Macaca fascicularis: one gene and its partners. Each later gene encodes a partner of the first gene's protein in a complex. Links are inferred from orthologs where the notes say so. Each region holds a gene or a part of one and is shown in the gene's direction. Other genes may lie near its edges.

Region 1 (3,500 bases):
TTCACAGCAGAATTGTATTTAAAAGTATATGCTGGCCAGGCGTGGTGGCTCACGCCTGTAATCCTAGCACTTTGGGAGGCTGAGGCGGGCGAATCACGAGGTCAGGAGTTCGAGACCATCCTGGCCAACATGGTGAAACCCGTCTCTACTAAAAATACAAGAAATTAGCTCGGTGTAGTGGCAGGCATCTGTAATCCCAGCTACTCAGGAGGCTGAGGCAGGAGAATCGCTTGAACCCAGGAGGCGGAGGAGTGAGCCGAGATTACGCCACTGCTCTCCAACCCAGGCGACAAAGTGAGACTCTGTATATTTAAAAAAAAAAAAAAAAGTACATGCCTGTTGTTGCTGATTAGGGCTTCGACGTTCCCAAAGCGTGGAGTCAGATTCAGTACCTTCTCCACAGAGTTGGCATTGCAAAGTGGAATAACTCAAATTTTGTTTCGTGTGTTCTGCATGTTGAAAATGTACATGTAAATGCTTATGTGTACTTATCACGTGAATCTGTATTTCAACTGCTTAGTTTATGCGACATTCACCAGGCTTGCTTTGGCAATTAAATACAAAAACAATGCTTTGTTGGAGTTGCAGTAGCTTTAGCCATTGACAACCTGGAAGCCAGTTTGAATAAGGCCAAAATGGGTGCAAATCAGCTCCCAAACTTTGTATTATTCCTCAGACCCTCACTCAGATTCTGTTACTTTTACTACATATGCAGTCTTTTTAGGTTGGATTATCTGATATCATAGACAACAGCATATTTAAGGAAAAAAGAGGGTGCTGCTATAAGAAGCATACACATCAGTCTAGCCAAAAATAACAGCAGACAGCCTCTAAGCAAAGGAACAAAAAAGAGAAAACTACAAAAGATAAATAAAAAATTAAAAAGCAGGAATTCTGGATTAAAGTAGAATAGGGCTAATTATAGTAAATCACCACATTTCAATGGCTTTAGGGAAGCATGTGACAACATAGTCCAAGTACTAGAAGTTTGTAATATAAATCTTGGTCATTATTAGAAGTCTCAGTTACATTCACACAAAAAAAATGTATTATATACTTTTAGAAGTATTTTCATCAAAATTATAAAAAGGTTTTATGTGTAAAGAGGGGTCATTACTTCACAGTAGTAATAACAGCAAATATTCAGCCCTGTGATTTACATGTGGAATTTTATTTAATTCTCCCAGCAACCCCATGAGGCTGACATAAGTAACAGTAACCGTGAGATACCATTTTCCTAACCTAAAACTCCAAATGAATAACCATTGTGTCTTTCTAGATCTGAATTCTACAAACACATTGTGCTTTCTGGAGGGTCTACTATGTATCCTGGCCTGCCATCACGGTTGGAACGAGAACTTAAACAGCTTTACTTAGAACGAGTTTTGAAGGGTGATGTGGAAAAACTTTCTGTAAGTATTAGTAAATCAACTATTATTAACATTCTTTTAAAAGACTGTACAGTAGTTTGTGAATCTTGACAACCACCAGAGGGGGCAAGATGTCTTCCAAAACAAATTCCTACTGCAGTCAAGTGCAGTCTGGAAATGACAGGAAGAGGGAAATAGTTCAAGATAAGCTCTGGTCACCTCTATAGTCAATGGATGGAGGCAGTGAGGTCAGGGCCAAAAGTTCTGGTTCATCTGTAACAACCAGCACAGACTCCGAGGCGCCTCTATGTGCAAAAGAAGAACCTGCTGTACTATGGGGGAATAAATGCCCCACTTGAGGTTTTTTTTGTTTTTTTTTGTTTTTTTTTAAACTTATTTTGGATATGCAATCAGCCTTTAGCACTTCTCTTGGGCTGTCTCATATTTCTGACTTTGTTTGTTACATATGTTGTCTTCTCTCCTCCGTCAGATTGTAAAACATCATGTCTCATATTTTTTTGCATCCCGGTAACTGTCATAGCTCTTGAAACAGACTTTAATTGGTAGTTGTTGGTATGTACAGTAGAAAGAAATTTTTTAACTAGTAATAGTTGATGTTTCTTTGGCATGGGTTTGTGTGTTTTTTCCACCAAACTCTGGACTATGTGAAATATACAGTATGTGCTGTATACTCAACCAAGAGTTATCTAATCTTGAGTTAATCTCTGAGCTTTGTCTCACTGACTTTGATCAACTATTTTAGATAATGAGATTATGTATTATAGAGTACTGTATGTTACATCTTTCATATATGACTCAAATTGTTGAAATTAAATTGAGTATGGGCTCACATACATTAAACAGATTAACAGACTCGAAAGGAGCCGTGCTGTCTAGGTACTTCACTCATTTTTCTGATTTTATTGAGTTTTACATATAATTTATAATTGATCTCAGGTGATCATTTATTCAGCAAACATTTCTTGAACTCCTGGGTGCCAGACATAGGTCTAGGTGCTGGGGACAAACAAAACAATGAAAACAGAATCCCTACTTTTAGTCTAAATAATGTATTAGTGGTAATAAGTGATATGAAGAAAAGTAAGGTGAAGAGCTGGAAACTGTTAGTGGTTGGAGAGGTTGTGTGCTCCTTCATAAACTGTGATCAGGAAAGGCCTAAGGCCTTCTGGGTGAAGTGACTTTTGATCAGAGACCTAAGTTGAGCGTGAGAGGAGTGAGCCATGCAGCTATCTGGGGGAAGAATCTTATAGGCAGGAACAATGCAAAAGCCCCAGGTTGGTGGGAATGTGCCAGTGTGGCTGGAGCAGAGAGAGCAAGGGAGGAGGACACGTGGGATATGAGGTCAGAAGGGTAGCAGGAGGGCAGGTCTTGTTCAGCCATGGTAAAGGGTTTGGCTTGACTCCTGGTGAAATGGAAAGTCTTGGGTGCCGGGGCGGTTTAAGCAGAGAAATGATAGGATCTGATGTATATTTTTAAGGGCTCATTAAGTCTGGTGTGTTGAATAGACTCTTGGGGGAAGAGGGAACAAAGGTGGGCATAGACCAGTTAGGAGGCACTGAGAGGAGGGAAGGGATGGTAGAGTTTTAGACTAGAGGAGGAGGTTGCAATGGTTGTTTTGGAGAATGGAAGAGAATAGAGAAATGTAATAGGATTACCATGCAGCAGCAAGCTCAGTTGAGGTTAGTGATACATTGAAGCAAGATGTTTTGTATCTTTCTTATCTTGTTCAGCTGCTTGAGAGCAGGTGCATGAGTTCAGCAAGGAGGGAGTGGTAAATGGAGTAATCTGATAGAATGAGTTTCATTGGAGCTATGGAGTTTTAGGGATGAGCAAGATGAAGCAATGAAGAGCAAGAACTCATATTACCAAACCTCCAGGGTTAAGGTAGTGTGTGAGAGAGAAACAGTAAGCAGTTGAGATATTTACAGAAGCAGCGTCTTCAGGAGCTAGCTAAGTTTCCCTTAGAGCAGAGGTGGGCATTTATAGCCCTTATGCCAAAACTGTTTTGTTTTGTTTTGTTTTGTTTTAACTTTTATTGGAACACAGCCAAGCCCATTTGTTTACATAATGTTACCTGTTGTCATTTACTGTCTGTGGGCACCTTCTAGC
Region 2 (3,500 bases), on another chromosome or scaffold:
GAATGGGACCCATGTTGTCTTATAAAAAGCCAGGCATCTTGTAAAAAGCAGAACTAAGAATCAGCATACAGAATGCTCTCATAAATGTGATTTTTTTCTCCCTTCCTTTAACTCACACTTACCCACTGAAGGGAATATATATATTCTCATTTTACAAATTTGGAAACAAGCTAAGAGAAGAAGAATGATGCCTTGGTCAAAGCATAACGCCAGGAAGTGGCAGAGCTGAAAAGATAGTGCTTGGGTCTTGGTTTAGCTGGGGGCTGGGTACCCTGATTTATATGATGTTTGTCTTTCTGTGGTGGAAATACTTTGACCAGATACCAATGTGATGTCACCAAACATAGAATTGGAAGAGATGCACAGCAGCACCCCATTATTTAGTATTTCGTAATAATAACTTTAAGAACATGACAATAGGAAAATGTAATTTTTAAAAATTAGGTTATTGCCGGGCGCGGTGGCTCATGCCTGTAATCCCAGCACTTTGGGAGGCTGAGGTGGGCGGATCATGGGGTCAGGAGTTTGAGACCAGCCTGACCAACATGGTGAAACCCTGTCTCTACTAAAAATACAAAAATTAGCTGGGCGTGGTGGCTCGCACCTCTAATCCCAGCTACTCAAGAAGCTGGGCGGGAGAATCGCTTGAACCCAGGAGGCGGAGGTTTCAGTGAACAGAGATCGCGCCACTGCACTTCAGCCTGGGTGACAGGGCGAGACTCCGTCTCAAAAAAAAAAAAAAAAATTTAGGAAGTAGGCCAAGTGCAGTGCAGTGGCTCACGCCTGTAATCCCAACACTTTGGGAGGCCGAGGCGGGCGGATCACCTGAGGCCGGGAGTTCAACACCAGCCTGGCCAAAATGGAGAAACCCCTTCTCTACCAAAACTACAAAATTAGCTGGGCGTGGTGGCACATCCCTGTAATCACAGCTACTCAGGAGGCTGAGGCAGGAGAATCGCTTGAACCCGGGAGGCAGAGGTTGCAGTGGGCCAAGGTCACGTCATTGCACTCCAGCCTGGGCAACAAGAGCAAAACTCCGTCTCAAAAAAATAAAATGTAGGCAGTAGCTGGGTGAGGTGGCTCTTGCCTGTAGTCCCAGCCCTTTGGGAGGCCGAGGCAGGCATATCACTTGAGCTTAGGAGTTCGAGACCATCTTAGGCAACATGGTGAGACTCCTTCTCAAAAAAAAAAAAAAAAGAAGTAGTGATGAATATTTAAGCATCATTGGTTTTAACATCATTTACTTTTTTTTTTTTGAGACAGAGTCTCGCTCTGTTGCCCAGGCTGGAGTGCAGTGGGATGATCTTGGTTCACTGCAACCTTCGCCTCCTGGGTTCAAGTGATTCTCCAGCTTAGCGTCCCAAGTAGCTGGGACTACAGGCGCACACTGCCACGCCCGGCTAATTTTTTGTATTTTAGTAGAGATGGGGTTTCACTGTGTTGCCCAGGCTGGTCGCGAACTCCTGACCTCAGGCAATCCGCCTGCCTCAGCCTCCCAAAGTGCTGGGATTACAGGCGTGAGCCACTGCGCCGGCCAACATCATTTACTTAATTGTAAGTTTATATAATTTGATTTTTGAGAACAGCTGTGTTTAACAACCAGCTTGAAAAATGCCTCATAATTTAACAGTTGGTTTTCTTGAGCCAGAAAGAACCAGCTCTAGCACCTCAATGCTGCTATCCCTTCTCCCTCCCCTGATTAATCTTGGGTGGGTTACTCTTTTTTTCCTTTAAGGAAAGGTTGTTTGCCACAGTGACATTTGCTCTCTTTCTGCTTCTGTGTTCTTCCTGGGCTTGCCATTACAGGCTTACCACTCTTCTCTCATGGATCCTGACACCAAACTCATCGGAAACATGGCACTGTTACCTATTAGAAGTCAATTCAAAGGACCTGCACCCAGAGAGAGTAAGTCTAAACCCATTATTTTCAAATTTTGGCATGAAATGCCTAACAGTCTTCTAAAATGGTCAAATCAGGGAAATTCTTAGCTCAGTCTTCTCTCTCAAATTGTCCTTGTACTTTGGTAGATATTGTGGTCTAGACCTTTCAAGATAGTGGTTATATGTTGCATTTAATAGGAAATTGTATTATTTCTTCTGACTTCTCCAGGAAACTCTTTTGAGAAAATGGAGGAAATGTGCTTAATTCTGGACACTGTTTATCAGTTCTTTCAAACAAATCTAATGCTGTTATGTCTAGAATGCCACATGCCCATCCTTTCTGTTATCAACCTGGAAGAAAACAACAAATATTTTGACCTCTTCCCCGTCTAAATCTACTTCCTTTATTCATTCTTCAAGATCTTCATTTTTAGCAATACCTCAATCTTAAATCTGAAGTATACTATGTAACATTACTTATGTCTATTCCTGCTTTTCTGAGTTTTATTTCAGAAAGCTGCAATATTTTTCAGACACTGTCTGAGACTCTTCTGACGCTTTCTGAGATGTTCTTCCAACAGTATTATTTGTATTATATTAGACACGGTTTCCCTGTACCCTGCAAGGGTCTGAACTGAATTCCATTCATGGTTTCTAAGACCATTATTATAATTATCAATTTGGTACTGATCCAATTCCCATTTCTCTGCCAGACTGTTTGACTTGACCTTTTTTTAACTTAATTTTGTTTTCAACACCATTTGAAAGCTCAGTAAACTTTATAAATATGGTGAGTCACCACAGTCTCTACTTGATTCTGAGGAAAAGGAACAAGGAAGAAGACAACCTGAGAGAGAAGAAAAATAACATAAAAGAAAATCACAGGGCTGGGCGCAGTGGCTCACACTTGTAATCCCAGAACTTTGGGAGGCCAGGGCAAGTGGATCACTTAAGGTCAGGAGTTCGAGACCAGCCTGGCAAACATGGCAAAACCCCATCTCTACTAAAAATACAAAAATTAGCTAGGCATGGTGGTGGGCACCTGTGATCCCAGCTACTCAGGAGGCTGAGACAGGAGAATTGCTTGAACACAGTGGGTGGAGGTTGCAGTGAGCCAAGATTGCACCACTGCACTCCAGCCTGGGCGACAGAGTGAGACTCCATCTCAAAAAAAAAAAACAAAAATTACACTGCAAAGGCCAGGCGTGGTGGCTCACACCTCTAATCCCAGCACTTTGAGAGGTCGAAGTGGATGGATCACCTGAGTTCAGGAGTTCGAGACCAGCCTGAACAACGTGGAGAAACCCCGTCTCTACTAAAAATACAAAAAATTAGCCAGGTGTGGTGGCACATGCCTGTAATCCCAGCTACTTGGGAGATTGAGGCAGGAGAATCGCTTGAACCTAGGAGGTGGAGGTTGCAGTGAGCTGACCTGGGAGGTGGAGGTTGCAGTGAGCTGAGATCATGCCATTGCACTCCACCCTGGGCAACAAGAGCAAAACTCTTGTTTCAAAAGGAAAAAAAAAAAAAAAAAGAAAAACACCTGAATTGGAATGGAGGCCTGTGCTGTGAGCTAAATAACAGTATTAATCACACTAATTCATTTATATTCAACAAAT
Region 3 (3,012 bases), on another chromosome or scaffold:
GAAGAGCAAGTGAGCCTATGTTTTCTGTTCAGCCTATGGGATCCTGCTTATTCCTTTGGGGCCACCACCTTAGAAAAGAGTTACAAGGTCCGGGCACGGTGCTCACACCTGTAATCCCAGCACTTTGTGAGGCCGAGGCTGGCGGATCACGAGGTCAGGAGATCGAGACCATTTTGCCTAACACAGTGAAACCCCGTCTCTACTAAAAATACAAAAAAAAAATTAGGTGTGGTGGTGGGTGCCTGTAGTCCCAGCTACTTGGGAGGCTGAAGTAGGAGAATGGCATGAACCCGGGAGGCAGAGCTTGCAGTGAGCCGAGATGGCACCACTGCACTCCAGCCTGGGCGACAGAGCGAGACTCCATCTCAAAAAAAAAAAAAAAAAAAAAGAGTTAAAAAGGTAGCGGTTATCAGTGGCTGATATCAGGCTGGCCTTGTTTGGATGGGGGAAAAGAAACTCCAGAGCTGAAAGACAGAGGGACTGGGCTGCCTCTTGAGTGTGGAAGGTGGATCAGAGCCAAGCAGGGAGCTGGGGAACCAGGGCTGGGAGTGGCTCGCCTGGTGGCGCAGACCCAGCTCACTCAAGATGGAGCTCACACTGGGGAAGCCAGGAGATTCAGCTCTGCTCCGAAGGCCCTTCCTGTCTGCACGTGGGTATCACTGCGTGAAGAGGAGTAGAGACCCGATTGGGCAGAAGCCATTCCTTGTTCTATTTTTGAAGCTTTTTGGCTGAAGCCAGTGTTTCACACGAGGAAATGAAAGTTGGCTGATGTAATTCAGTTTAAAATAGGTGTCACCTTTGGGGACCTAACCCAGATTGTAATTTTCTTTTGCATGCTGGGTATTCAGAACTCAGCAAAGAATGTGTTGTCAGGATTGCAACTGAAGTTGGGGGGGGGTAACAGTGGAGACTGGCTCATTGTTGACAAAAGCTTCTGTTAGATTGATAAACTCTTTCCAGGTAACAGTTGGGACCTCATTGATCCCAATAGGTCTTAGAAGTTCTAGCACATCTAAATTTCCTTAATAGTTTAATTGATGAAGAGCATTGATGAAGAACTGGGAGATCTCCCTTTGTACCTACATTTCCCCCTTTTTAGAGTGAGAAGATGAGAACGGCCTCCAGTTCACATGTACGGGTGCTGTGAGGATCCAGCAGGGGAGATCCAGTGCCCAGCACCAAGCAGGTGCAAGTGAGCGCAGTCCAGTTTTACAGCAAGTTACCCCTCAAGGGCAGTTGCTTTGATGGGGAAGGTAGAGAGGGAGGAAGAAGGAGGGTTTGCATGGTTGGCAGAGGTGCCCTGCACCCTCCCCGTGTGGGCGGTAAACAGTCTCTGCCCACCTGGAAGCCGTGGAAGGTGGGTGGTATGGATGAGATCCCATCTGACTGTTCCCTGAGCTGTTTCTGAAGTGAGCTTGTTAATGACAGCGTGGACATGCTTGAGCCTAGCCATCCTTAACTGGTGGTGATGCACAGGGGACATGCTTCGGGCATTCCATGCAGCCTTGCGGAACTCACCCGTCAACACCAAGAATCAAGCTGTGAAGGTAAAGGGGTGGCGCTGCGGCTCTGCTGGGTGCTGTTGGGACCAGGGCTGTGGGTGTCTGGCCAGTGGGAGTGTGAGCTCCTCGGGGCTCTGGGCAGCGTCCGTTTCATCCGCATCAGAGGGAGTGAGCTGGCACTGGGCAGTGCTTCCACGGGAGCCTCCTGGCACTCCCTAGGTGGTGAGGCTCCTCTGACATCAAAGCTGTCAGTGTTTATACGAGAAACTCCCCACGGAAGCCTTCACTCCCGCTCGCGGCCTCGTAGGCTGAGAAGTCAGCCTGGCCCTGGCTGATGAGGAAAATGCATGAATTCGCTCACCTGTGGTGCTTATGCTCCTACAGCCTGAATAGGCTTTGTCTGCCCAAGGATTTTAAGTACCTGTATGCTTTCCTACCTTCTAAAAACTAAATTGTGCTTACTGCATCACCAAGGCTAAAATTTGGTTCAGGGAAAGGGGTCTCCCTGCAGCCGGAATTCTAGCAGCTGTGACAGCATCTTGATGTCACCGATGGCTGCACCTTCACAGAGTTCTGGGAAACGGCCCCACCCTTCTGAGTGTGAATACAAGAGGGATGCTGGAGCCAAGTCAACTTGGTTTGATTTTTTTGATAGTCCACCACCATTGTGGAGTATAATAAGGCCTTATTGGTATCATCTAAAATAGTGATGGGCTGGGTGCCGTGGTTTATGCCTGTAATCCCAGCACTTTGGTAGATGGAAGGATCACTTGAGCTCAGGAGTTTGAGACCAGCCTGGGCAACATAGCGAGACTTTGTCAGTATTAAAAATTAAAAAAAATAATAATTAGCTGGGCATGGTGGTATGTGCCTGTAGCCCTAACTGAGGTGGGAGGATTGCTTGAGCCTGGGAGAGGCTGCAGTGAGCTGAGCTTGCACCACTGCACTCCAGCCTAGGCAACAGAGCGAGACCCTGCCCCTCTCTCCCTCTCTTTTTCCCTCGTTTTTATTTTTTCTCTCTCTCTCAGAGTTGATACTTGTCCTAGTAAACTACTTATTCCCCCCAAAATAAGTAGAATAACTTGTTGGCATAAATAAAAGATACTTTGAAATTTAAATACACAAAAGACCTTCTAGCTTGCTTATTTTAACCATCCTGGACGAATTAGAAACTGCGTGGTGTTTCTGGAAACCTGTGTCCTTGCTTTGGTGTGGGGCATGGCGGCCTGCACAGCTCTGGGCCTCACTTGCTCTTTTTCGTCTGCAGGAGCGAGCCCAGGGCGTGGTGCTGAAAGTGCTCACAAACTTCAAGAGCAGCGAGATTGAGCAGGCTGTGCAGTCACTGGACAGAAACGGTGTTGACTTGTTAATGAAGTACATTTATAAAGGCTTTGAGAAGCCCACAGAAAATAGCAGTGCAGTGTTACTCCAGTGGCACGAAAAGGTATGTGAACGCTGCCATGCACCCAAGTGAGCCACCTGGCTTGCCCCAGTGTTCAATCAGCAGGCC
Region 4 (3,491 bases), on another chromosome or scaffold:
AAGACGCAGTGAATTCAAATAGTGAAATCATTTGTGTGTGTTTTTAGAGGAGACCACTCAGGCTGAATTTGAACAAAGGTTTGAAAAATAAGTTAAACCTTTACAAAAATAAACAGATTGTAATTGCTTTTTAAAGATTTTTTAAAACTGTACAAATACTAAATATTTATTATAGAAAGCTCAGACATATGGGAAGGTTAAAAAGATAGTCATTTATAGTCCCACTACCCAGAGATAACAGTTACTACTTTGGGGCCTTGCTATATTGTTAGAGTTCCCTTTTGTTTTTTAAGAATGAAATTTTATAACCTGCTTTTTCGGCTGTATGCAATGTACAAGAGATTTCCTTCGTAATAAGTTTATTTCTATAGCATTTTTAACAGTTGTATATGGATAAGCTGCAGTGTATACATAACTAATCTTTTGTTATATATTTAGACTGACTTTTCCTATTGTGAACCACTGAAATGAATATTTTTTGGTAAATTTTTAATTGTTCTCTTTGAATAAATTGCTAGCAGTGAATTACTGGATCAAAGAACGCACTTTTTTAAGGCTTTTGGTACATGTAGTATTGCCAAATTGCCCTTCAGAATGGTTGTGCAACTTACATTCTCTGCAGTCTTTTAGTAGTTCTTAACCTATTTAAGTATTTATTTAAAATGATGCCCATAGCATCAACCTCATTGTCCATAACTATTCGTACATCCTAGGAGCTTCAAGAATCTCAATTGAGTAGTAGTAGGTAATAACTTAGGTAAATGTGTAATAATTATCTAGGTAACATAATTTTTTATCGGGGAAAAATTGCTTTGGTTTTTACAAGTTGTAAAGAATGTCGTTGAAATTTCATTTTTACCCTGGATGCAAAGATATGTTTTCTAAATCTGGTGATTGCATAGTCTTTAAACCAAAGATAACAATAGGTAGTAGAAGCATTGTGTGAAATCCTGACCAGTAGGAATGCTGGAGGTAGCCCTTTGTGTTGAATGGAAGAAGAAACGAATTGTTGAAAAGGTCAGTTAAGTGTTCCCTTTGCTTGCTTGAATGGGTAAGAAAATAACTGCTTTTGAAGCAGGCTTTTGCTAAAGAAAAAAGATCATTATTAATGAACATCACTATATTTCGTATCTACAGTCAATTCATATAAATTACAATTTTCTTTTAAGACAGCTTTGTTTAAAAATTTTAAAAGAAAGTTTTTAAGAAAAAATTACTTCTGAAGAATAATTCAAGGTAGAAATGCAAATTGCTTCCTTGTTTTGTGGGGTTTCTTTTTTTTTTTTTTTTTTTTGAGACGGAGTCTCACTCTGTTGCCCAGGTTGGAGTGCAATGGCGCAATCTCTGCTCACTGCACTCTCCGCCTCCCGGATTTAAGCGATCCTCATGCCTCAGCCTCCCGAGTAGCTGGGATCACAGGCACCTGCCACTATGCCCGGATAATTTCTGTATTTTTAGCAGAAACAGGATTTTACCATTTTGGCCAGGCTGGTCTTGAACTCCTGACGTCAGGTGATCTGCCCATCTCGGCCTCTCGATGTGCTGGGATTACAGCTGTGAGCCACCACACCCGGCTGTTTTGTTGGAATTTTGTTTTTAAGATCAAGACATAAAATTTAAATGTTGTTTTAATAAATTGTTAAATTATCACATTGATCTGTTAGCAAATCCTCTTGGCTCTGCCTTCAATTATGTCAATAGTCTGTCTAGTTTTTAACCACTTCCACTGCTACTGTGCTCACCACATCCGGCCTGTATTACTGCAATTACCTCCTAATTGCTCTCCCTGCTTCTGCCTTATCCCCTACCCCCACTGCTTATTCTCTGTAACGTAGATGCCAAAGCGATCCTGTTAAAATGTGAGTCAGATTATGGCACTGCTCTTAAAACCTTCCAATGTCTTCTTATTTCTCTCAGTAAAAGCCAAACTCCTTACAATGCCTGGAGGCCTTACACGATCTGTCCTCCCATAACCTCTGACTTGCTCACCTGCTTTTCTCCCACCAGTCCACTCCAACCACATTGGGTTTTTTTCCTATTCCTAGAACACACTGAACACACACTAATAGTGTGTTCTTTCCTCTGTCTGAAACACTTTCCTCAGTTATCCCAGGCCTTCCTCTTTCACGTCCTTCAGGTCCTTACTCAAATGTCACCTTCTTAGTGTGGCCTTTCTGAAATTCTAAACCATCCTCATACAGATACGTCTAAATGTTCTGTTATTTATTTACTCACCAGGACCGGGCAGGCAGCATTGTCTTGAAGGTGCTCATCTCTTTTAAAGCTAATGATATTGAAAAGGCAGTTCAATCTCTGGACAAGAATGGTGTGGATCTCCTAATGAAGTATATTTATAAAGGATTTGAGAGCCCCTCTGACAATAGCAGTGCTGTGTTACTGCAATGGCATGAAAAGGTAAATTATGAATTATAAATCTACATAACTGGTTCTTTTACAATAGGGGATGACAGTGACGACCTCTCTCACCTGAATAACCATTTTGACTTGGTTGTACATTTTTTTATTACAAATAAAATGCATGAAAATGATAGTTCATATTTATGTTTACTAGCCTTGGTCTTAAGAGATTCTAATTCCAACACTTGTGTTTATTCAGCAACGATTATTAGTAATTAAACATAATCTTGAACTCTAAATTAAATCAAAACTTTGTAAAAGAAAATAAGCAGTATAAATCAAGAATTCTTTCACAGTGACCAAAGGGTGAAAACAACACAAGGATCATCAACAGATGAACAGGTAAATTGTAGTACATACATACAATGGAATATGATTCAACCATAAAAAGGAATGACATTCTGACACATACTATAACATGAGTAAACCTTGAAAACATACCAAGTGAAATAAGCCAAATACAAAAGAACTAATATTTTATAATTTTACTTATATAAAATAATCTAAGATAGGCAAAGACAAAGGGACAAAGTCCTTAGAGGTTACCAGGAAGTAGGAAAAGTAAGGAATAGGGAGTTAGTGCTTAATGGGTACAGAGTTCCTGCTTGGAGTGGTAAAATTATGGAAACAGATAGTGGTGATGGCTACAATACATTGTAAATGTAATTAATGCCAATGGATTTTACGCTTAAAGATGGTTAAAATGGCAAATTTTGTGTTAGATATTTTACAACTTTTTTTTAAAGAATTAGGGGTTTGGAGGATCAAGAATTCTTAAATCATTTTTTTCTATTTTCATGCATATATTTTGCAATGTAAGTAGATGCTGGTACATCATCTGTCAAAAGAGTACAAGGGATTTTGAGCTTTGGGTAAAAAACTGGATAACATGTAAATAGAACCAGCCATAAAAATATTAAGTGTTTGAAGTGTATCCGAATGAAAACACACACATAAGAGAAAAGTACATAGTAAACTTGTTGTTTAGCCTTGGTCAAGTCACTTTATCCCTCATACACTATCAAAAAGAACTAACATTTATGGATAGGGTAACCATTCCTCACAGTTTTCCC
Region 5 (4,235 bases), on another chromosome or scaffold:
CTTGCAGCGGTTTTTTTTTTTTGAAACAGAGTCTCGGCCGGGCGCGGTGGCTCACGCCTGTAATCCCAGCACTTTGGGAGGCCGAGGCGGGCGGATCACAAGGTCAGGAGATCGAGACCACGGTGAAACCCCGTCTCTACTAAAAATACAAAAAATTAGCCGGGCGCGGTGGCGGGCGCCTGTAGTCCCAGCTACTCAGGAGGCTGAGGCGGGAGAATGGCGTAAACCCAGGAGGCGGAGCTTGCAGTGAGCCGAGATCGCGCCACTGCACTCCAGCCTGGGCGACACAGCGAGACTCCGTCTCAAAAAACAAAACAAAACAAACAAACAAAAAAAAAGAAACAGAGTCTCACTCTGTTGCCCAGGCTGGAGTGTGTTGGTGCGATCTCGGCTCACTGCAACCTCCGCCTCCTAGGTTCAAGCGATTCTTCTGCCTCAGCCTCCCGAGTAGCTGGGATTACAGGCATGCGCCACCACTCCTGGCTAATTTTTGTATTTTTTAGTAGAGACGGGGTTTCACTGTCTTAGCCAGGATGATCTCCATCTCCTGAGCTCATGATCCTCCCGCCTCGGCCTCCAAAAGTGCTGGGATTACAGGCGTGAGCCACCGCGACTAGCCGAGGGAAGGTTTTCATCGGTGGCTCTTCCATGTGTCTGGCCGCCTGGGCACGTATTCACTGAAGAGGCAGAGGGTCAGGATGGGGAGACTCCAGGGACCACCTGGCTCAAGACCCGCAATTAGGTGGCTGCAAGGCCAACCCGGTAACTTTAAGAAGTGAAGCCGATTGACGTGAAACAGAAAGGAAAGAAGTTAGCTGGCCGGCCAGCGTCAGCACAGGCAGCCAGTGTCACCCTGCCCGGGGACGGCACCCCGGTTTTGTGGCGACGACACCGAGGGCCGAGGGGGCGGGGCCGGGCTGCCCTGGCCATGCCCGACCGCCTGCGCCCCGCCCAAGGCCTGCACAGTTGGCGCCCCGCGGGTATCAGCGTGAAGGGGGCTCCTCGCCGGCTGGGGACGGGGCTGCGGGGCTCGCCAGCCGCTCACCTGCGTGGGAGCGCAGAGCCCGCAGTACCCGCCGTCCGGGCTCAGAGGACGCGACTCCCCGACCCTGCGCCCGGCAGCCCCCGGTGGCCGTGCGCCCGGCCCAGGCTCGGAGGTCTAGCCCAGCGGCAGCTTAGGCTGCGCGCCTGGCTCCCAGCCTCAGTTTCCCCATTGGTAAAGCGTTGACGGGAGGTTGCGGACGGCTTCTACGGACAGAGCCTTAGGCTCCGACGTCTGCGCCGGTCCTGGCAGCACCCCCACCCCGAAGGGAGGGCGGGACCTGGATCTCGCGACCGCTGCCCCAGGTCCCCGCCCCCGGGCCCTACGGGGCTGAGGTCGGGAGGCCCCGCCCCCCGCCCACGAGGAAGTGGCTGCGGCTCCGGCGCGGAGCCCAGAGCCGGTTCGGCGCGTCGACTGCCCAGAGTCCGCGGCCGGGGCGCGGGAGGTGAGGGCCGCGGGGGCGCCGGGAGGTGGGGGTCGGGGGAGCCATCCGGAGGTGGGGGGACGCGTGGATGTGGGGCGCCGCCTGGGAGTGAGCGGGACGGGAGGGATGAGAGGGGGTGCAAGGAGGGGGCCGGGGGGCGCCTGGAAGTGAGGAGGACGCATGGATGTGGGGCGCCGCCCAATAGGGGCACGGGGATGAGTGAGGGCGCACGGAGAGGAGGGGGCGCGGGGACGGGGGGCTCGCGGAAAGGAGAGGGAACCCTGGGATTGGAGGGGGCGCGGGGGTGGCTACAGGGCCAGGCCGTGGAAACGCGGGCTCCCCGCGCACCGGGCGCCCTCGGGGCGTCCCCAGCCCCCGGTCCCGAGCGTCCGCCTCGTGCCTTCCACCTCGTGCCTTCCGCCCCTGCTCCCGGGCCCGCATCCCCGGCCTTGCCCCGCGGTCGGTCGGTGTAGCCCCGTTACTTCGGGCCGGCGGAGCCCCACGCCCAGTCACTTCCCCTCCATCCCGGAGCCTTCCGGGTTGCAGCCGCCGGGAAATGAGTTGGCGTCCCCGGCCGCCCCGCCCCAGCCCTCCTGGCCGCTCCCGCTGCTCCCAACCGCCTCCCCTGGGCCAGGTCCGAGGGGTCCCGTATAGGGCGGGCCTGGCCGGTGGAGTCCCGGAACGCACCCCTCAGCTGCGGGGCTCCGCGGCCAGGGCAGATCCGGGCAGCCCCTCCCTTTCCGGAGGCGCAGGGAGAGCAGCCAGGCCGCCCAGGGCGGGGCGGGGCTGGGCCGGGCTGCACCCGCGGGCAGAGAAGAGATCAGGAGGGCAAGCCCTGGGGAGTCAGACCTCCCCCTGCCTCCTCTGCCAGTGCAGCCCGGAGGCTACCACCACCCATCCCGGCCGGGCGCGGCGGCTCACACACACAATCCCAGCATTTTGAGAGGCCCAAGCGGGAGGATCGCTTGAGGCCAGGAGTTGGAGGCCAGCATGGACAGCACTGCGAGACCCCTTCTCTATTAAAATAAATAAATAAAATGCAGTCGGGCGCTGTGGCTCATGCCTGTAATCCCAACACTTTGGGAGCCGAGGTGGACGGATCACTTGAGGTCAGGAGTTCGAGACCAGCCTGACCAACATGGTGAAACCCCGTCTCTACTAAAATTATAAAAATTACCCAGGCATGGTGGCGCTCACCTGTAATCCCAGCTACTCAGGAGGCTGAAGCAGGAGAATAGCTTGAACCCAGGAGACAGAGGTTGCCGTGAGCTGAGATCACGCCATTTGCACTCCAGCCTGGGCAACACAGCAAGACTCCAACTCAAAAAAAAAAAAAAAGTTAGCCAGGTATGGTGGTGCATACGTGTAATCCCAGCTACTCGGGAGGATGAGGCAGGAGAATCGCTTGAACTTGCTTTGGCAGTGAGCCAAGATTATATCACTGCACTCCAGCCTGGACAACAGAGGGAGACTCCATCTCTAAATAAATAAATAAATAAAATCTTAGGGATCTAAGTAGGAGTGCCAGCTTCTCCCTTCACTGGCCAGTGACTGGTAAGCTACCCAACCCCTGCCAGCCTCAACTTTCCTTATCTGGAAAATGGGAACCTTAAGGATTGTAAGGCTGCAATGCAATACTGCAGGACACTTGGCAGCGTGTCAGGTGCTGACAGTATAAACGTGTGCTTGTTGCTCACCTTGATCATAGTGTGCCCCCAGGTGAAACTAACTTCCTGGCCTCCAAGATGTGGGGTCAGAGTCCCAAGTTTCGTCATTTAGTAGGAGCCGAGTGACTTTGAGCAAATCATTGCCTTTGTCAGGCTGGGTTTCCTCTGGTACAAACTGAAGGTAAAAAGCAAACAGGCTGGGTGTGGGTGGCTCACGGTTGTAATTCCAGCATTTTGAGAGGCCGAAGCAGGCGGATTACCTGAGGTCAGGAGTTTGAGACCAGCCCGACCAACATGGTGAAACCCCGTCTCTACTAAAAATACAAAATTAGCCGGGCATGGTGGTGGGCAGGAGAATCGCTAGAACCCGGGAGGTGGAGGTTGTGGTGAGCTGAGATCACGGCATTGCACTTCAGTCTGGGGACAGAGTGAGACTCTGTCTCCAAAAAAAAAAAAAAAAAGCAAACAAAAAATGTCCAGGCTTGCTTCAGGGTGTAAAAGAGAGAATGGTGAAAGTTCTGGGTAAAATTGCCTTGCCAGATGCCAGTAAAGTTCGTTTCTTACATATGTCTGTACGTAATCCATTGATAGGTCTTTTTCTTTTTTTGGAGTCCGGTCTCACTGTGTTGCCCAGGCTGCAGTGCCATGGCTTGATCATAACTCACTTTAGTCTCAAACTCCTGGGCTCAAGGGATCCTCCTGAGTAGCTGGGATTACAGGCATGTGCCTCCATGCCCAGCTAATTTTTAAATATTTAGTAGAGATGGGGTTTTGCTGTGTTGTCCAGGCTGGCCTCAAACTCCTGGCCTTAAGTGATCCTCCTGCCTTGGCCTCCCAAAGTGCTGGGGTTACAGGCATGGACCTCCATGCCTGCCTTATAGGTGTTTTTTTTTTTTTTTTTGAGACGGCGGAGTTTCACTCTGTTGCCCAGGCTGGAGTGCAGTGGCATAATCTCAATTTACTGCAACCTCTGCCTCTCGAGTTCGAGTGATTCTCTTACCTCAGCCTCCCAAGCAGCTGGGATTACAGGTGCCTGCTACCATTCCCAGATAATTTTTGTATTTTTAGTAGAGACAGGGTTTTATCATGTTGGGCAGGCTGG
Region 6 (3,982 bases), on another chromosome or scaffold:
TGTTTCAAAGGACTATCTGTGCCTTAATGATAGGAGCTAGTTTCTTGTTCATTTTTTTATCCCCACCCCAAACACGTAACAGAAAATAAATTATTTCCTTGTATGTGGAAGGGACTCAGCTAAGTTTATTACATTCTCCCCGGAGGAGGGAAAACACAAAACAAGGCACTAAGGCAGATGGTGCGGATGTAGCACAAAGAGGAGTTAAGATTCCGCACTCAGGTAACAAGGAGGGTGTATCTCTGCCAGAGGTACTGGAAGGTTTCAAAAGCAGAAAAAAATGCGTTCTGGACACCTGGACGTAGAATTGGAGGCATGACAGAAACACAGGGAGGCCCATCTAAGTTGCCTATTCACCCAGGTGACCTCTCATTCCTTTCCTTAATTGTCCTTTTAACAATACAGGGAATTTCACGCAAGGAAAGTGTCCTCTTCTCGCCCCAGCGGGCAAGGGGGTTCCTCCGGCGCAAGTTCCGGCCCCAGCTACTCCCACGTCCCACAGGTCTCCTGCCTTTTGGTACGTACACTCCTGACCACTCGCTGCTTCCGCATCCCTACTCTGATCCTCTCCCCATGCATCTCTACCTCCTTACACAATTGAGAATTTTATTGTCTGTTTCCTCTACCAGACTATAAGTTCCACGAGGGCAGGGCCTCATCTATTTCATTTACCACTACATCCCCAGTATAGAGCAAGAGCCCATGAAAATGTTTGTTGGAGAAATGAATGTCTGATGGTGTCGCTGGACAGCTATACCTGGAAAGAAAAAGAGGCACGCCCAGCAAACAAGCTGGGAGCAAAGAAGCCCGCTGGGAGACTACAAGGGCGAGCTTCTTGCGAGGTCTCTGAAATGACAAGACCGGAAGAACGGAGTTGGATCTCTGGGACAAGCGGGAGTGAGAACCTGGACAGTCAGGCAAGCCTCGGGGAATGACAGCTCCGCGGGGGACGCACTGGTAGGCTGTAGACGTAAGGGGGTCTGTGAGAAAGTAGAGGGTGGGGTGGCGGCATCAGACATACGCAAGCGCAGTCTCCGTTTCCTCCGGCGCGCCTGCGCTCGCGTTCACGAGGGGTTGAAGCGGAAATGGCGCCGCGGGGCCGCGCGTCCAGGCGGCGAGCGGAAGTGGGTGTGAGAGCGGAAGTGGCCGGCTAGAGCCGGGGGCTGGGCGGGGACTGGACTTGTCGGTGAAGCGGCAGTGGCGGCGGCGGCGGCGGCTCGGCAGGCGGGTTCAGGCTTTGGGGGCCAGGTCGGTTGGTTGGTTGGGTGGGTGGGTGTCTCCACAGTCTGCGTGCGTGGGCCAGCGCGTGCGTCTTACCCTTCCCTCCATCCCGGCCCCTCTCCCCTTCTCCCCTAACCTCCTACCCCACCCAGGTCCCTTCAGGGGGCAGCAGGGCCGCTTCCTCCGTCCTTCCCTACCTTACCCACCCTCACCGGCCCTTGTTTCTCCTTCCCCTGCTCGGGGCAGCCGCCGCCATGATCCTGCTGGAGGTGAACAACCGCATCATCGAGGAGACGCTCGCGCTCAAGTTCGAGAACGCGGCCGCCGGGTGAGCGCGCGCCCGGGGCCAGGGGTGGCGGGGGAGGCAGAGTTGACCCCAGCTAATCCCCAGTGTCGTCCAGTCCCCCAGACCTGGAGGAGAGAAATGGGGTGCCTGGCAGGGTGTAGGGGCTGCCCCAGCGGGGTAGAGGTGGGAGGCGATTGGGCGCGGCCGGGCGAGGGGCAGAGATGCGTGGGGAGAGGCTCAGAGGAGGGATGCGGAAGCAGCGAGTGGTGAGGGCTGTGCGTGCCAAAGGGCAGGAGACCTGTGGGACGTGGGGACGCTGGGGCCGGAACTCGCGCCGGAGGAGCCCCCTGCCCGCTAGGGCGAGAAGGGGACCCCTTCCCTGCGTGAAATTCCCTGGCATTGTTCTGAACCCAGAGAGAGCCTGTTTGGAATTGGGTTGGAAGGAGTTTTCAGGAATTCCCAGGACTGGAGGAGGAAAGGAGATGCAGGCCCACGTCGCCACCAGCATTCTCGTTCCCCGCTGCCGTCTGCTCTAAAAGGAGCAGAAGAGAAGACTGAAAGCCAACCCAGTCTTAGAGCCGGAAAAACGCGATCTCTGGTTTCCCTTTCCCGAACCCTTCTGTGAGAGACACTGGGCCATTTTGTTACATAGTTTTCAAGCAAAGCTAATTGTCCCTTGCTCCACACCCGTTCCTTATCTCTCCTTTGAGGTTCTAATGCTCTCTCCTCGCCCACTAGCCTTTATCTGGTTATCTTGTAAATTCTTACATCAAGACCCTTGGTCTGTGATTTCTTCCGTGGTAGCCTTGGCCCAGTTACACACTTCAAAGCCTCCAGAATCTATAAAGTTCTTAGATAACCTCTCTTTACAGTTGGACTTTTTAAAAGATGGGCTTAGGTCGTATTTCCAAGGCAGCCTTCTCTGCCAAACACAAGAATCAGTAGAAGACAACCTCCTCCTCCAAAGCTGCTTTGCTTTTCTAATATATTTAAAACATGAGCTAAGCGTTTTGGGTTCTAATTTTTGGTGGCCTATGGCCAATCCCCTTGCCTCATTTCCCTATCTATAAGCATGGGGCTTCACATCTGGGTTTCACAGTTGAGGAAATAAGAGCAGACTGTTTCTGGTGAACTGGGAGCTAGTAATAGGAAACTACTTGGAGATCCACAGATGGGAAAAGATTGGTAGAGGGGAATTTTTAAGTGGTCATAATGTACTTGTGGCTTGGAGGCATTAAAAAGTATTAACTACCATTTAAATTGAATATATAGTATGTCCTGTCTCCTTTATAAGGCAACAGATTTTATCTGTAAAACAAAGCACTACTTTCCTTGAAGTAATATGTGTAGTGAGCAGTACTGTTTCCTGCCAGGGGCTGCAGTTGCTTATATTTTAGGCTGACTTGCTGCTTTCTTGTCTTAGCCTCTCTTACCAGTTTCTTTGCATTTTAGATATTCAAATGAATCAGCCCAGAGTCTTATTTTGGGTGATTGCTGTATACTTTTTTCTGAGCAGTGTAGCACATAGGAGGAAGTTGAATTAACTTCTGCATTTTCATAACTGATCTTAATGCATTCTCAGGTCCAGACTAGCAAAGAATGAGACCTGGGCGGTTATAAACTGATCTACAAGATAAATGGCTGTGTATTTGCAAGAAGAGGCATGTCTTTTAACATAGGAGTACATTCTCGTCTATTTGTGTATTAATGACTTGTGATTCCAAAATATGGCCCATTATTCGGAACTTCAGTTCTTTCTTCTTCTTTTAAAAAGTTATTCTTAAAAGAAGCAGCTAACCATTTCGGAGGGATTAAATAGGCCCTCAAGTCTGGAAGAAAAACGTTAGGACTTGCAGGACATTTTTTTTTTCCCCCCGAGACAGACTCACTGGCTGGAATGCAGTGGCGCGATCTCTGCTCACTGCAACCTCGCCCTCCCAGGCTCAAGTGATTCTTATGTCTCAGCCTCCCAAGTAGCTGGGATTATAAGCACGCGCCACCACACCCAGCTAATTTTTGTATTTTTAGTAGAGATGGAGTTTCACCATGTTGGCCAGGCTGGTTTCAAACTCCTGGCCTCAGGTGACCTGCCCACCTCGGCCTCCCGAAGTGCTGGGATTACAGCACCGCGCCTGTCCTCATTTTTTACAAAGATTTGCATTGTAGGGAACTTGTATGGGGGTGCACTGCTGTGTGTGCTTGTGCACATGTACGGGTGTGTGTGTGTATAAATTTAGGCTTTCATTCTGGCCCATCTCCCTCTTTGAGATTTGGTTTTCAATAAGGCAGCTCAGAACATTCTGCTGAGAATTTGAAACTTTGAAAGTCTTTTAAAAGACCACAATATCCTGCCTAGTAGGCAGGGCTCTCCTGGGATTACAGATATATCACCCAGCAGAAGCCCGAATGAAGCAAGCGGAAATTACCAGGCATCCCAGTAAGGTAAAGCAAGGTGCATGCCTATTCCAGAACTTC

What was found.
Region 2: ACTR2 (region 1) and ARPC3 share a complex: the UniProt entries of both Homo sapiens proteins name them as parts of the arp2/3 complex. The link is inferred for Macaca fascicularis from reciprocal best matches to the Homo sapiens genes ACTR2 and ARPC3.
Region 3: the proteins of ACTR2 (region 1) and ARPC5L are in contact, whole or in part, in a cryo-EM structure (PDB 6YW6), measured with the Homo sapiens proteins. The link is inferred for Macaca fascicularis from reciprocal best matches to the Homo sapiens genes ACTR2 and ARPC5L. Residues at the interface, in NP_005713.1 of Homo sapiens: Tyr225, Glu263, Phe266, Gln267, Arg319, Lys322, Gln323, Ser338; in NP_112240.1 of Homo sapiens: Arg11, Arg12, Val13, Asp14, Ile15, Asp16, Glu20.
Region 4: ACTR2 (region 1) and ARPC5 share a complex: the UniProt entries of both Homo sapiens proteins name them as parts of the arp2/3 complex. The link is inferred for Macaca fascicularis from reciprocal best matches to the Homo sapiens genes ACTR2 and ARPC5.
Region 5: ACTR2 (region 1) and ARPC1B share a complex: the UniProt entries of both Homo sapiens proteins name them as parts of the arp2/3 complex. The link is inferred for Macaca fascicularis from reciprocal best matches to the Homo sapiens genes ACTR2 and ARPC1B.
Region 6: ACTR2 (region 1) and ARPC2 share a complex: the UniProt entries of both Homo sapiens proteins name them as parts of the arp2/3 complex. The link is inferred for Macaca fascicularis from reciprocal best matches to the Homo sapiens genes ACTR2 and ARPC2.

Annotation. Positions count from the first base shown.
Region 1 is NC_088387.1:56,630,649-56,634,148, reverse strand, and holds part of ACTR2 (actin-related protein 2), read left to right. Parts: intron 1-1,279; coding exon 1,280-1,412; intron 1,413-3,500. UniProt on the Homo sapiens protein: ATP-binding component of the Arp2/3 complex, a multiprotein complex that mediates actin polymerization upon stimulation by nucleation-promoting factor (NPF).
Region 2 is NC_088385.1:117,318,444-117,321,943, reverse strand, and holds part of ARPC3 (actin-related protein 2/3 complex subunit 3), read left to right. Parts: intron 1-1,806; coding exon 1,807-1,906; intron 1,907-3,500. UniProt on the Homo sapiens protein: Component of the Arp2/3 complex, a multiprotein complex that mediates actin polymerization upon stimulation by nucleation-promoting factor (NPF).
Region 3 is NC_088389.1:19,191,950-19,194,961, reverse strand, and holds part of ARPC5L (actin-related protein 2/3 complex subunit 5-like protein), read left to right. Parts: intron 1-1,475; coding exon 1,476-1,547; intron 1,548-2,769; coding exon 2,770-2,946; intron 2,947-3,012. UniProt on the Homo sapiens protein: May function as component of the Arp2/3 complex which is involved in regulation of actin polymerization and together with an activating nucleation-promoting factor (NPF) mediates the formation of branched actin networks.
Region 4 is NC_088375.1:41,176,232-41,179,722, reverse strand, and holds part of ARPC5 (actin-related protein 2/3 complex subunit 5), read left to right. Parts: intron 1-2,238; coding exon 2,239-2,415; intron 2,416-3,491. UniProt on the Homo sapiens protein: Component of the Arp2/3 complex, a multiprotein complex that mediates actin polymerization upon stimulation by nucleation-promoting factor (NPF).
Region 5 is NC_088377.1:47,963,509-47,967,743, forward strand, and holds the start of ARPC1B (actin-related protein 2/3 complex subunit 1B), read left to right. Parts: upstream 1-1,435; 5' UTR 1,436-1,487; intron 1,488-4,235. UniProt on the Homo sapiens protein: Component of the Arp2/3 complex, a multiprotein complex that mediates actin polymerization upon stimulation by nucleation-promoting factor (NPF).
Region 6 is NC_088386.1:114,116,741-114,120,722, forward strand, and holds the start of ARPC2 (actin-related protein 2/3 complex subunit 2), read left to right. Parts: upstream 1-1,182; 5' UTR 1,183-1,248; intron 1,249-1,467; 5' UTR 1,468-1,475; coding exon 1,476-1,549; intron 1,550-3,982. UniProt on the Homo sapiens protein: Actin-binding component of the Arp2/3 complex, a multiprotein complex that mediates actin polymerization upon stimulation by nucleation-promoting factor (NPF).